2 linked regions of the Styela clava genome follow. The protein of the gene in region 2 purifies or fractionates together with the protein of the main gene of each other region. This does not show direct contact. Links are inferred from orthologs where the notes say so. Each region holds a gene or a part of one and is shown on either strand. Other genes may lie near its edges. The genes, in order: histone deacetylase 1-like and lysine-specific demethylase 5A-like.

Region 1 (7,648 bases), on a different chromosome or scaffold from region 2:
CATCACCATGATGAATATCAATATCAATGTATAAAACACGTTGATGATACCTATACACAATATTTTTTGTCTCAGTATATTCTTACACATAAAACAAAATTGGTATTCTGAAACTCTTGATTTCAATTCATTTTAATTTTGAATATTCTAAAATCTAAATAGATCACTTTTATTTTATTTGACTGTGATTTCAACAAAAAAAAATGAAATTTAGATAATTTGGTTACAGTTTGAATTTGATTACCGTACTCTCATTAAAATTATTGTTTCAATAATAATCTCTAAAAATCAACAATTCATATTCACTACACTCACTTTAGAAGTTCTAATATAGCAAGCACAATATCGTTAACATAACAAAAACCAGAAGCTTCTGATTTTTTAGCATGATGAAGTCCACCTCCCCAGTTGATTGCAATATCAGTTTGCTGCTTGTTAATTTTGACAGCTCCAGCTATAAAAATACCAGACAGAATATTAGATGAAAGACTTGGTATATTGAACTTATCTTATAACTTATCGTATAAATATCTCCTTTTTGAATAAAGTACAAGCACTCGCTGAATGATGAGAAAACACAATGGTGAGAAGCTGGTGATGCCTAGAAATTTTTTTCAGTCTGAAAAGCTTTTACATTCAGGGTGAGATTTGGCCTTAAATTAAATAATGTGTTGATTGAGCTAGATTTATTCAAAACCAGTGATGCCAATATAGTTATTCCAATACAACCACTTTACTTTGTACACATCTTCATAACAAATCATCTAATATAGGACTTATTATTCTGCTCTAATATGCTATGATACTTGTATGTATATATATTACATATTAGACTTACCAATTGATCCACCACCAGATAACTGACAAAATTCATAAAGTCCATCGAAAACTGGACAATCTTCTCCGACATTAACTGAAAAAAAAATTTATCACACTTCTTGAAGCAATATCACAGGGTTTCAAATTATGCTTTCTTAGGTATAATTGTCCCAAAAATTCACAAAGCCACACACTACACCAGGGTCGACCAACCTTTTTGGCCGTCGGGCGACATTTAGTTTACTAATAATTGCGTGGGCCACTTAACATGGTAATTATGTTCTAGTTTTGTTACACTGACTAAAAGTTAATAAAAAACAAACAAAACCCTCGCACCAAACTTTCTCACTAATAAGAACAATAAAAAAACAAAGATACAGTAAAGTCAACAAAGTTTTTTCTACACATAGATATTTTAGTGTGAAGTTTGGCACTGTTTTCGCTAACAAGTTAGTAAATATTCGCTGAAATGAACGATGTAGCAATGCGAAGTGAATTTTCCATATGACTTTCAGAAATTAGTGATCTCACAGGGGATTTGACATGGTTCATCTGTGCCCAAGTGTGTAAGCTACTATTTATGTATCGATACCTTCCAGTTGATTTCGAATCAAAATGGCACTCATGGCTCGTTTGAAAGGGCTAGCAGAGCGCATTTCAGGAAAATTAACAAATTGTTTGTATCAAATCTTCATATTAACTACATCATTCTGAAAATGGAAGTTTTACTCAATTTTTTTTTATATTTAATTTCGAAAATACAGCGCGGGCCACTCAAAGCTCCTTGGTGGGCCACATGTAGACTGTGGGCCACAGGTAGGACGACCCTGCACTACACACTCAAAGATACAATATGATTAAAATTTAGTGTAGATGTATTATTAAATAGTCTTAGAAAATCCTTACATCTCTGCATTTGTTTTGTATATTCAGACATGTTGTCAGGTCTTATGCTGCGCAGAAATTTTATGTAATCATCACTGTGGTATTTTGTCATCTCATCGCTGTTGCATTTATGTGGTCGCTGTGAAATAGATTAAAGAATAAACAATGCACTGACTATGAATTTTATTAATTCACCATATTTTTGACCTGCAATTAGAGAAGCTTATGGCCACTGTATTATTGGGTTTGACAAATGGAAGGGGAGCCAAACATGGGTTACTGGTTGCAACACCCAAAATGCATTACACAAATAATGATTCCATTCATTGAAAAGTTTGAAATCCAATATTTTAATAATATAGGTACCTCAATATAAATTTGTTTCATTTTTTATATACAAGAGGAAAAATATTCAAACAAATATATCAAACTAAAAATATGATTCGTGAGGTTTTCGAAGTGACATTTTGTTTTAGCAATATTTTCAAATTCTATTTGGAGGCATATTTCTATAAATGTGAGTGTACAAAATTTTTAGCTTACAAAAATTTCCATTTTTCGATACAGTCCATAGTTTAAAAGTAGATTGTGGGTCATGCGTATTCGGTGTGGTTTCATTGGATGACCCTGGCCATAGTAGTAGTTTCCAACATCAGCTGTTCGAACAAAATTGATAAATGAAAATTAAATGGAATATTTGAAAACCATAACCAACCAGCGGTTACGTAAACCACCCTATGACAGCGAAGAGTCCAGCAATACTCTTGCACATAATTATAACCAACAGGATTCGAACCTGTGAACCCATGCAGGATAATCAGAGATGCGATGGCAAGCGTATTCCTAACACTTGGCATGATGTGTCATACTGCCGAGACAAGATTGTAGTTGCATTTCATATCGTATCAAAGAGACTAAAAGATCTGACAACGCAGTTTAATCATATTGAAAGCCACATCTTTTTGTCTGGACTCATTCTTCATGAGAATAGTTATTCCAGAAATAAACATTGGTTTCTGATCATTATGAATTAATATTTGGTAATGTTGTATATTTCCACTAAATACGACAAACGTATATCACACAGTCATCACAGTTTTAAAGTAAAAATGAAATAATGAACCAACATGGTAATTACTGCACGGGGCTCTACTGGCACACGTACCTCCGACAAAGCCAAGCGAAGTTATAAAAAGTGAATAGTTCAGCTATTACCTGGATAATTTTGGAAATATACTTACAATCATAATAATAGCAAACTTTTCTGTTTGTTGGATTCGTCAGCGCCATTCCTTCAACCGAAATACTTTAAAAACGAACAAATAATTCACGCAGAGACAGACGCGCAGACCACACCACAGCGACAATCGGAGGAAACTAAACGATATGTAGCGTTGCCAGATCGTAATATCAGCAGTGCTTTTGAGAGAGAGAGAGAGAGAGAGAACTTATTTATTTCGTCAAACCAGAAAACGATTAAATATATATGATAGCAAATTGAGAAAATTTAGTTTTTGATAGATGACTGGGTGGTAACGATACAACCATTTACGGTCATTTGAGTCAGTTATCACCCAAAACAAGCAAATTAACAAACAAATTAATAACACAGGTTCTGTTATACTTACGGTTATACCACACTCTCAATAAATATAACAAAAAAAACGATATACACTATGTGCAAAAAAAACAATATTTGATTATAGGAGAGATAAATTTGTCTATTCGGGATAAGGGAATTATTTGAATAAATTTTTTAAAGCAAATATTCCAAGAATTAAGAATTCTATACCAAATATATTATTATACTAGTTAATTAGTATATATATTAATCCACACATTCAATCTGTCCTGAATCTTTTTATGTGCATACACAAGTTAAAATATAAAAGATGAGTCACAATATCACAAAGAAAAGTTCCACAAGCAACAATAATATGTTGTGTGAAGTAAATCACAGTTTGACCGTAAATATGGTTTGACATATGAATTATGGGCATAACAGTAATACGATTTTTTTTATTTTTAATTCATTAGCTTGAAGAAAATATGGAACAACGGCATGGTTTGGAAATTTAGTTATCAATATTAAGTAGAACAAAAGCTAAAAACCTAATGAAAAAAAGTATTCTACTTATGTGATAGAGATCGAATATCGTATTTATATCGCTGGTTCGGGTACCGCAGTGAGAATATATACACATTTGATACGGATAATCATATATGACCAGTTGACGACCTATCGTTCGTTCATAGGCCTACATCATTTTACGACATACAAGTTGAAAATCTTTGATAGATTAGGATCAGGTCTGTTATAGTAAGGACATTGAACGCAAAATTTCAATCTGTTCATACAATTATTATCAGAAAATGAAAAGAGGCGCCAAAAGTTTTAAATACGGCAATAGCGGAAATGTTTCAAAACCGCAAAATGTTGGATAATCGATAAATATAGCATATAAACGAAGTGAAGTGAAAAAAAATATTGTACACACAAATTAAAACTTATATAATTTTATCAAACCATTCCTCTTTTTAATGAAGCATGAAGCTAAGATTAAACCAATTTAAGGAAATGGCAACAAATTCTGAAAGTTATAGGCCTACTGCCAATGTATTATTAAATAGTGCATAGAATATTCTAAAATGAAACTTCACATTTTGAATCTTCCTTATATTATAGTTAAGTCACGTGTTTCTTCAATTTTGATTATATCCAATTTGTCTTTGTGAGATCAATGTTTTTAAAGAAGTGCCTTGAAATTATGTTCAAAGTTCTTCTATTTCTGGTTGTAATTTAATGGAGCGGCTAGAGTTGTCCACTTTTTTAGTGGGAATTTTCCTGCATAGATCGTAATTATTGAGGTAAAGGTGAAAGTGCGACCATGAAAAACATCGCCAACATGTAATTCAAATTAATTTTAAATCACATAGCTTTTTGTTGATTGTACACATATTTTACCAATTTGCAATGAAGAAAACAATTAGCCTACATGAAAGGTCCCAGGATGAAAAAATTGTTTTTTGGAGGGGGAACCAATTTTTTTATAATGACATAATGCGACGCTAACTCGTGCCTTTTGCTCCAACCAAGGCGAGATAAAGACTGCTAGAAGACAATATCTTAAATAATCTCTCTACGGGCTTACTTCGCTGTTCAAGTTATATATATATAAGCAAGCATTTTCATCTATCTGGTTGGGGTATTCGGAGCAAGGATTATTATGTCTCATCACAAATGCCTCGAAATTGCATTAAACAGCTGAATATTTTAGAGGTGGGGCATGGCCTGGCTATGGCCACAAAGGGTCCTTCATTCACTCGATATATTTTACAACCATTTTGTGTTTTATTCAAGGATTCAGATGCCGGAATAAGCAACTGACGTTAGGTTAACATTAAAAAACTAATATGATAAGATTTACATATTTATCCCAGGGGAGAGGAAGGCCGCTAGTCCGATTACCAGTTCATGTCGGATATGGGATTAGTTAGTTATTTGTTTTCGGACGCATGGGCTTGGTGGTAGAGGAAACCGTAACTGACCAGCCTTACGTGAACCCCCCTACGTTGACGAGTAGTCCAGCAATCCTCTCGCACATAACTATCCCCGCATGGGATTCGAAAATGCGAACCCACGCAGAGTAATCAGATGTGCGGATGGGGGTCCAGTACGCCAGATAATTTCTTTGATAAGATTGTCTCTGTGTGCCCATTCGTAAGATAACGAGCATTAGTGTTTAAAATCCTACTAAAGACATCACTCGTTTCCCCCAATATTGGTGCTAATTGTATGCAAGTGTGCGTTCTATTTCAAGTAGTCAAAGTAATCTTAGCGTCATAAAATACTAAGTTGACAGTTCGAGATTGACACTGGCGGTTGGTACCTGTTCTTACATCATGCAATTTATAGAAATACGTTTGCCATCGCACCTCTTATTACTTTGCGTGGGCTCGAATCCCGTGGGGTTATATCGTGCCAGAGGACTGAATTTCCTACAGCCGTTGAGCGAGTGCTTCACTATACTAACGGTTGGTTACGTCTTCCTCCACCAAGTCCTTGCATCTGCAACAAAGAATGTGAGGTGTGGAACGCCAATGGCATATGATACAAACGTCTGCAATAGCCTGATATTGCCACTATACCGCCATTGCCTGAGATTAATATGGAATTCCCTAATGATATTGAGCAGGGTAACAAATGAAAATGCACTTCGAATTTGAACTATAATCATTTGTCATAATATGGCATTGGGCTTTTGAAACTTTTTTGATATTTCCCCAAAAGACATTTTCATCATTCTTCACATAATATTACGGTAGATACAAACAAAATACTTTGTTAAGTGTTCATTTTTAGATACAAAATGATTAGATTTCTTGGTGAAAAATATAATAATTAAGAATAGGACATAATATTTAGGTTTCAGAGAGTTCACTTTCGCTGACAACTTCTCCACCGACAGATACAAAACTGCCAGCTTCGCTATCCTCGCCTTCTGAACTCAGAGTCAATGATTGTTTTTTAGTTGAACTTTTGTTTTTACTTCTGAAATCAGAGGGAACATCCATTGCATTGTCTGGGGCACTATCTCTGATAACTTCATCTTGATGAACTGTTGTTGAGTATTTTTGGAATCTTTCCTTCATTTGATCATCATCACTGCCCTCACTTTCAGATCTTGCAAATGGATTTGCTTCGTCTTCATCTTCACTATTGCCTTCCTCATCCTCACTTGCAGACATTTCTCCATCCGACATCAGCAAATCTTCCAAAAGCAGACTCTTGCCTTCTTGGGCCTCGATGCCATCAGCTGTGTTAGAGTCGTTTTGAGTTCCGAGAGCTTGAGCTGCAGCGACTGAAACAAAATCATTCGATGAAGTGGGAACATCACTTTCCACATCTATTTTTTCATCTTCCATGTCGGTGAACATGGTATTACTCTTACTGTCATCTTGCTGCATTGCAGTGAAGGAGGAGTTACTATCTTCATCCACACCAATGTCCATGCTGTTTTCATCCATGACAACGTCGTCATCAGCTCCAGCCTCTGCTTCCTCTTCTGCCGCTTTCTTTGCAGCAGCAATATCATTTTCTAGCTGTGTTAAATGCTCATCATATTCCTCGAGTGTATTTCTGCAAACATCAACGATTTGTCGAGCAGTTTCAGTAAATTTTGATTCAGCGCCATTGAATTTTGAGCTGTTAATTAAAATAAGCTCAACATGTTCCATAAACTGTCCTCTATTTTGATACATATGTTTCTGAACATTCTTTTTCAGTGTGCCGAGATCCATTGGATGATCAACAACTTTGTAATAATCCGGCACAATTTTCTTATTGACAGGATTATGAAAAGGCCATGAATCTGAAATGGTCATCATTTTATTACTGATTATATTATCAAGAACAAAACTGAAAGAAACTTGGTCATCGTCATCAAGCAGAGGATTTATTGCTTTCTCCAGGCGCATCAATTTATCTTCCAAATCTTTGAATCTTGAGTCACAATAATCAGTCATATGAATAGCAGTCTTTGTTAATGGACTGTCTACACCATTATAAATTTTAGAATTGTTGACAATCAGATCTAAATGTTCTTTAAAATCTGCTCTAGATAAATATGAATGTTTATGAAGGTGATCTCTCATTGTTTGTAAATCCATTGGTTTTTCAATGATTTTGTAATAATCTTTGACCGCTCTTGGATTCACAGGGCAATGAAAAGGATGAGTTGATGGAAGTTCACGCAAACCATTAAGTACATTCTCAAGAAGTGATGACAAAGTTACAACAGGGTCTGCTCTTTTTCTTTCTTTCTTTTTTGCAGGCCGAGTCAAGTAGTCGCAGTGGCTTACAGAGCCCTGATACTTTCTTTTACGTCTTTGCACTGGCTGTGGTGTTTCAGGTTTCTGGAATTTGAGAACAAGTGACTTTCTT
Region 2 (8,160 bases):
AGTCTGACCCCTATTTTCTGCAGAACGAGGACTCAATACTTCAAACAAAGAGAATATTGTGTTTTTCTTTAGGAAAGCTCGACAAGTTCTCTCTTTCCATTCTTGTGCTGCTTCAACTTGTGTGTTTAAAATTGGTAACTGAGACAGTTTGACTTCCATAGAATTTGCTTGTAGAAGGAGAGCTTCCAAAACCTCAAGATATGGATAGTAATCCTGATTATGAATGGTATGCAACTTTTTCTCCCAAATGTTTGCTTTTTCAACCACTTCCTGTAGCTCAGCACAATGTATAAGTTGCACTGGAACATTTTGGGACTCGGATGTGATAACTTCTGCTGTTTTTAGACTGCCTTTTTCCTTCATTTCGAGAAAGCTTTTAGCCTTATCCTCCCATGCTTCTGAAAGATTGAGAAGTTCCTGCAACTCAGCCATTGCACGTTCAACAGCAGGCCTAGGTGACACAGACACTCCAGAATCTATCAACTTCCTTAATTGCTCCAATGTTATCAATGATGGTGGAGGATCACAATCATTTATTTCATCGTCCAAAAGGAGACAAGATCTGACTTCTTCTAACCACTTTGCTTGTTGTAGTGCGTGGTGTAGTAACGTCACCTGTGGAAGTTCCAGATCAAAATCTAGTGAATCCTCTATCAAAACAGCAATGTTATGACTGCAAGGTTCTTCCTCTTGCAGAATAATTTCAGTTTGAGTAACAAATTTTTCAATTCGCTTTATATAATCAGAAACCTGATCCAAGTTTGGAATTGTGCATGGTAAACCTAATAGTTGTAGATAAAAAGCCCTTATTTCTTCCAGCGTCAATAAACAAGTATTTGGATGAGTTATAATACCAGCTGTGGAATGAATTTCTTTTTGCCTAGTCCTGTGCTTTCTAACCACAACAAGCTGTTGGGCAACTCGTGAACACTTTTCGGCTTCCCGTACAGCTGACTGCAATTGATGCAGCAAATCATTTTCTGGAAATTTCCCTTGCACAGCTTCTTCAAGCAATTCTTTCAATTCGTGTAATGTATACTTGTTTTCAAATCTTGAAAACGCATCGCCTAATTTTGTAGTCCATGTATCAAAAGACTCCGCTCGCAATTTCATCTTATGAAGCAATGGAGGTAATTCATCCAATGTGTATCTATATCGAAGTATAAATTTACTTGGATCACAAGTGCTGCAGAGCCTGTTGACATGGAACGTACAGACAAGGTGATCTGGTCTACATGGGCATGTAATTGCGGACAAAAAGCATGCTGTTTTGCAGATGAAACACTGACGTTCATCATCGGGTACAACCTCAAAAGCTTCCCTTTCAGCTTGACATACACCAAGCTCATGAAGTTTCTTTCTTGCTTCTCTTTCCTCTTGCAGCATAGCAAGCATATCTCTGTAAACAGCAGCTGCAAGTTGAACATCTAAAACGTCAGGATTATTGGCGACTTTACATAAAATTTCTTCGTGTGAAAACACACATGCTCTTTTTACTGCGCGATAGTGAGCAACAGATTGTCTGCCAATAGGTATCCAATCAGCTGGACAAAAGTTCACGGCTTCTGCAAAGTTATATCCCTGATTAAAACCTGCATGATATGCCCTGGGGAAGGTAACAATGAATTCACCCGCACATTGGTTAGTTCGGACAACTCGCACACCATTGTTCATCAGAGTTGAAGGATTGATAGTGGTTACAAGATGATGCATAACATCAGGGTGGTTCTTGAATAGGTCAGGTGCGGTATTTTGCATTACTTCTTCCAGTTTGATTGCATCTTCTCTTGGAACACCATACCAAGTCTTTGGTTCTCCCCAGTGAAGATAATTGATAGAATATGTCCAATGATCTTCAATGTGCCAACAAAAAGCAGAGAAGCACATACCGACATAAACCCATGGTATTTTCATTCCTGACATGTCACCAGTCATATAACTTAGTAATGATTGTTTCGCAACTGGTAGATTGTTTAAATTCCATCCACTTTTTGCATAATCCTCTTCTTCAGCAGAAAGTGGATGTTTCTCTTTGTCGCACATTCTAGGAAATCCACTTCCGTGATTAAGAACATGAATATCGGCGCCATACTCCACTGCAACATCCTCTTCTATTGATCCAATTAATCTCCAGAATTCTCTTTCAACCAACTCAGTGGGGATCATGTGAACAGGTTTTGTAAAATATTCTGACTTAAAAGCATCAGCCATTTCTCCAAAACTTTGTAGTGTGTATTGCTTTCTTGCTTGTTCAAAACCATAAGCGTCTATGACTTTGTTGCATTCTTTAGACAAGCATTTTGGACATCGCCAATCCCCTTTGGGAACTTGGTTCAATGGTGGAATCAGACAGTAGGTATGGTAACTGTCATCACATCCATCACAGAGTAAAAGTTGAGTGTCATTGTGATCCTTCAGACAAACTTTACAATTACCCATTGTATCAAGAATGGAGTATGGGAGCTGTTCTGAACCCTTCTTTCGTGTGTTTATTGAGGTTGTGTCAACTGTTGCGGTAGGAATTGCAGTTTCTGGCTTTATCTTAGTTTCTATTTCCCCGTTGTAATCCATCAAATCAAATATATTTTTGCAATCCTCATTCTTCGGTTCTATTTTGATAGTAGCGGGTGCAGGTTCACTTTTAATTTCTTTTTTATTTGCCTCTTCTGATTTTATTCGATTTCTTCTCTTAGCAATTAATCCCAGGCCTACCATTTTTGGGCCTGCACCAAAAAGCTGCAATTTGGCAAGTTCTTTGTTATTTGATACGTCTACAACAAGAGATGGATCATCTATAGTTCTTCTTTTATTTTTCTGGCGGGCAGCTTCACTTTCATCTTCTTGCTCTCTCTGTGGTTTTACCTTGCTATTCCCTCCATATCTTCCTGAAAAACTTGGAAGTGGTTTCCCAGAGCCATCAAGGCTCTCAAGAAGAACGCCAGAAACCATTATGTCATATGGATACAGCAATCTTTCATAATGTTGTTTTATTGTTGCAGAAAAATTTTTTGCAACTCCTAACTTTACACATGCGGCATTCCATTGGCGGTTCTTGCAGACTTCTTCAAATCCCCCCAATTTCCTTACGGTCTCATGGAGACCATACAAATCTAAAGGAGAGCCGGCAATGTGTGGCAGTCTGAATGTAGTACCCTGTAATTCCCAAAACTTAGCTACTTTCTGAATGAATTGAAGTCGAATCCGAGTTTGAATACCTAATTCATTAAGTCTCTGTATTCTCGGTGTAAATTTGAAATTTTCTACGTCAATAGCAAATGGGGGTTGCCAATAAGGTGGAGGCCGTATTTTACAAATGCCTGCTTTTTCTGCTATAGGTCTGATCTTAGCAATGTATCCAAGTGGATGAGCAAATTCTTCTTCGTTTGGCTCAAAAACTGGAGCCTCTGGAGGAGGAAAGAATTCATCATCAAACATATTGAATTTTTACATACAGCAGCTTATTAAGATCTTTAAATATGAAAACAAAATTCAGAAAAATTAATATGGATCTAATTAGATAGAATATACATATTCATCCCGGGGGAGAGGAAAGTACAGCCTAATCATATGGCGAAGCATGGCCTCTCATTAAGTTACCAGTCCATGTCGGGATGGGATTAGTTAGCCAGTTATTAGTTTTCGGAAGCAAGGACTTGATGGTGGAGGAGGCAGTAACCGACCAGCGGTTATATGAACACCCTATGGCGGCGAGGAGTCCGGAAACCGTTTGCACATAACTAACCCTGCATGAGATCGGAACCCACGAACAGTAATCAGAGGTGCGGTGACAAGCATATTCCTAACACTTAGCATGATGCGCCACACCGCCGAGCCGGGAAGAGATATTTCAATTTCCTTAGCATGTCAATTGAAAAACAAAATCATTTGGTTGAGTTGTAATTCTGTTGTGTATTTGCACAATCTTGTACATAAATTAAGAATTTGATCACATTGAGAAGATATCAAAATGCTTTACTAAAAATTTAAATTGTCAATACATCATTTGCATTGAATATCATGTACCGGTAGGCTTACCGGTAAATAGTTTTATGTTTTTGTATATTTCCATGAGACAACTTCGCTTTGAATAAAGCCGGAAAAATATTCAACCATCACTGTCATCAAATATTCTTACAACTTCAATTTATTGGAACAAAGATTATTCAATTTAGTGATATTTAAAAATGATCATTCATCCTGATATGTTGATTTGGCTAACTAGCAGAAGCCTAAATAAGGAGCTTACAAAGTGGGACAAGGTATCTGATCCAATCACAGAAATACTTTTTTCATCTGTAGTTTATTAATTTTTATGTGTTGACATGATTCGGGTTGTAAACATTCCATTTTACACCAAATTTTAGTAAATTTGACAAGAATTACCAAGATGGAATTGGTACACCAGTCATGAGGAAAGCAAATTTTTATTAAAATCAACGAACTCCTGAATTTGTTTGATTAAGATTATAATTGACTAATATTACGAATGATTATGCCTAAACTCAACCCAATTCTAAACTCAAAATTTCAAAGTACTGAAGTATAAGGGTGGTCTGTGTTTATCATCCTTCATGCTGGTTAATATTATAAAAATGTTTTACTTTTGCACTGCTGAGGCAGGTATTTAAGAGCAAATTTCATACTAGATAATAAGGAAGCAACAATTTCAGTATATACAGCTAAACGAAGGCGATAAATTCAGAAATCTCAGTACCCCGTATAGCATTTTTACGCTTCCTTAACGACTGACTGAACGGCGTCGGAAAATCGTAGATGAATTTAAATACACATCACACAGTCACAACATCGCCGTATATAAAGGATCTCACGAGAGAACGCGCACAATCAGATTGCATACCTTTTAAACTTAAACATTCCAAAAACTTTATTTAATTCAACACAAAATTGTTGCGCGAAATGCAAAAAATCCAAACAGTTTTTAGATTCTCGCACACACAGACATATCGCCAAAATTGGATCTACTACATTATTATTTCTACGCTGATTTTCATACCAGGAAAAATCTGCCGAACGGTTATTTAATCCATGGCAAAAATATAACTTAAAATTATTCTAACTAAAATAAATTACCACACAGAAAGGAAAAATATTAGACGCACAAGACCCTGAGCACAATCCGTCGCCATTTTCGCTACGTGACCACTTGGTGTCCGTAAACACAAAGAAGAAAAAGGGCAATGACGCATTAAGATGAGAAAAAAGTTATTTCAGCAGAAAATAGAAAAAATGCAACCCGGCAAATTGTAATTATGTACGAATTTTGCATTTGCTCTGTTCTTTCCAGGGGCGTATATTGAGGGGTTCGATTGTGTGCTTTTTTATTATTCTGGGTTTAGCGCTGACAAATCGAAGACAAACAATACAATGCCTTACGCCAATCAGCCTACAATCGCAATCACGGAACTTACGAAAGACAATGTGAAATTTGTTATTGAAGATACAGATCTCAGTGTTGCAAATTCACTCCGCCGGGTATTTATTGCAGAGGTGAGAATTTCTGATACCGGTAACCGAGAGGAACAGGATGGAGAACCCGGAGAGTTGGCTAAACCAAAGTTGGGTTCGCAGGTTCGAATCCCATGCAGGGATGGTTATGTGCGAGAGGATTGCTGGACTCCTCGCCGTCGTTGGGTGGTTCACGTAACCGCTGGTCGGTTACGACTTCCTCCACCACCAAGTCCATGCTTCCGAAAACAAACAATATAACTAATCCCATACCCGACTTGGAATGGTAACCGGACGAGAGGCCGTGGTTCGCCATATGGATAAGCCGTCTTTTCGGTTTTCCTCTCCCCCGGGATAAATATGTAAATCCTATCCTATCCTAAACTTGATATGAGTTTTGAACATGCCACATAAATGCACTAACGTGATGTAGGCAATTCAATATGAAAAAGCTGTCTTATCGACTATCCTCTCCCCCTGGATAAATTTTGAAGTCCTATCTTGTTGTAACATAGAACGACTTAGAGATACCGTACTCCGACACAGTCTTTAAGGGTATACCGGTACCCTAGCTGCTGAATTACCTTATTTTTTTATTGCCCATATCGGAAGCCGTGGAGCCACCCTTTTCTGGCGAGGAGTCTAGAAATCCTCTTGCACATAATTATCTCCCACAGGATAATCAGAGGTGCGGTGGCGAGCGAATTTCTAATACTTAGCACAATAAATCACATTGTCTAGTCATACCCGACACTCGCTTTCTATTTGCTTCCATGGCCATTACAGTCGTCAACTCCTAAGCTATCCCAGAGTCATCCTCAACTTTTAACCTTTGCACATTTTAATAACTCATTCATTAATAACTTCATTCTTCTACCTGTACGCATGCATGAAATACAAATGTCTATAAGCATGGCATAGACTCAACAATAAAGATTACTAGAGTTCATGTTTCAATCTTATGAACTGGACTATCGGTGAATTAAAAAGTAGTGAAGTGTTATCCATTCTAATATTCTATATGAGACATGTTTCTTTGAAAAATTGTTTGTTTGTTGTGACTGCCCGCCTCACATTACTCTATTTAAATATATTTTAAGGTTCCCACACTTGCGATTGACTGGATTCAAATTGAGGAAAATTCTTCAGTATTGAATGATGAGTTTTTATCACATAGGATTGGATTGATTCCATTAACATCCGATGAGATAGTGGACAAAATTCAGGTAAATAGCAATAAGTAAAATTCAACCAAGCATATTTGAACGGGACCTATAGCCAGCCCATGCGATTAGGTCATTTTGTCTGTTCTCTATCTCTCATTGTTCCTCATTCTATGTATCATACCTGGTTAGTTGATGTACTACGGTAATTAATACATAAGATTATTCAAACCAAAGTGATCATTTTTTATTTTACTGAAGAACGTATTTATCCTGATTTCAGTACTCAAGAGATTGTATGTGCGATGAATTCTGCCCAGAATGTTCAGTGGAATTTTATCTCGATGTCAAATGTACAAGTGAAAGCACGCGACAAGTTACTACTCGTGATTTAATATCCATGAATCCAAAGGTAAAATGGTATTCTTGAAATCAAAATTATCCATTAGATGCTATTTTTTTATTTTATTTATTCTGCAGTTTCATGAGAAATACACATTTATTTATTATGGAATGAACAAACACTATCTGACTTTTCTACCCAATGTCTCGGTCATAATCATATCCAAATATTTTTTTCCAGTTTAAAACATTCCCATTATTTTGCTGGCTAATAGTGATTGCATAAAACATAAACATTTTGTGTAACAAATGAATTGAATGCCGTTTGCATGTTAAACTAAGGTTGTTCCAGTTACATCGAGAAGTAGAGGAGACGAGGTTGAAAATTATGGAGAACAAGATGACATACTGATTGTTAAATTAAGAAAAGGACAATGCCTAAAATTCAAAGCTTATGCTAAAAAGGGATTTGGTAAGCGGGTTTCTTAATGTCTGTCTACTGTATAATGCTTTCGATGAGAAACATTCGTTGGATAAATGAAACTTCAATATAAATATAGGAAAGGAACATGCTAAATGGCAAACAGTTTGTGCATGTGCTTTCGAATATGACCCAGATAACGCACTTCGTCACACAACTTATCCAAAACCCGAAGAATGGCCTAGGAGCGAACACAGTGATCTCACAGATGATGATGATAGACATCAAGCAGAGTAAGTTGTCGTGGCTTGGTTTTATTAAAACCACAATGAGCTACAGTAGCCATTAAATTTATTTTTGTTCAGATTTGATCCGAATGGCAAAGCAAACAAATTTTTCGTCAATGTGGAATCTACAGGAGCCATAAAACCAGAGAACATCATTCTGTCAGGGCTCTCTGTTCTTAAGAAAAAGCTCAGTGACCTCCAAACACAGCTAAGCCATGAACTGCAGCAAGATGGACTAACTATCGCATGATGATGCTGAGAAACGATCTTTTGGTCATAAAGTACCACCACCTTCTGCATCACTAGTTTGTCTGGCTTCAGGTGGATCTACATAGTTGAACATTTTAGGACCAATTTTTTCCAGATGATTTCTGCCACGTTGTCGCCAGAGTTTTTGACACATTTGTAATTTGATACATCGTCTGGCTGAACAGTTGTTGCACATCCTGTACCCATCTACAACTTTCCACTGCTCTTGTTT

What was found.
Region 1: the proteins of lysine-specific demethylase 5A-like (region 2) and histone deacetylase 1-like purify together in Drosophila melanogaster (affinity purification with western blotting; 3 studies listed by BioGRID, with this or other methods). This does not show direct contact. The link is inferred for Styela clava from reciprocal best matches to the Drosophila melanogaster genes Kdm5 and HDAC1.

What each region holds. Positions count from the first base shown.
Region 1 is NC_135257.1:9,275,950-9,283,597, reverse strand, and holds the start of histone deacetylase 1-like, read right to left. Parts: upstream 3,106-7,648; 5' UTR 2,995-3,105; coding exon 2,946-2,994; intron 2,361-2,945; coding exon 2,248-2,360; intron 1,844-2,247; coding exon 1,726-1,843; intron 914-1,725; coding exon 839-913; intron 455-838; coding exon 316-454; intron 51-315; coding exon 1-50. Other genes in the region: transcription initiation factor TFIID subunit 1-like, read right to left, coding at 6,127-7,648. UniProt on the Drosophila melanogaster protein: Catalyzes the deacetylation of lysine residues on the N-terminal part of the core histones (H2A, H2B, H3 and H4).
Region 2 is NC_135263.1:18,251,650-18,259,809, forward strand, and holds the start of lysine-specific demethylase 5A-like, read right to left. Parts: upstream 3,486-8,160; 5' UTR 3,436-3,485; coding exon 1-3,435. Other genes in the region: DNA-directed RNA polymerase II subunit RPB3-like, read left to right, coding at 5,386-5,508, 6,567-6,692, 6,913-7,041, 7,314-7,443, 7,532-7,685, 7,758-7,929; uncharacterized protein LOC120341062, read right to left, coding at 7,954-8,160. UniProt on the Drosophila melanogaster protein: Histone demethylase that specifically demethylates 'Lys-4' of histone H3, thereby playing a central role in histone code. Does not demethylate histone H3 'Lys-9', H3 'Lys-27', H3 'Lys-36', H3 'Lys-79' or H4 'Lys-20'.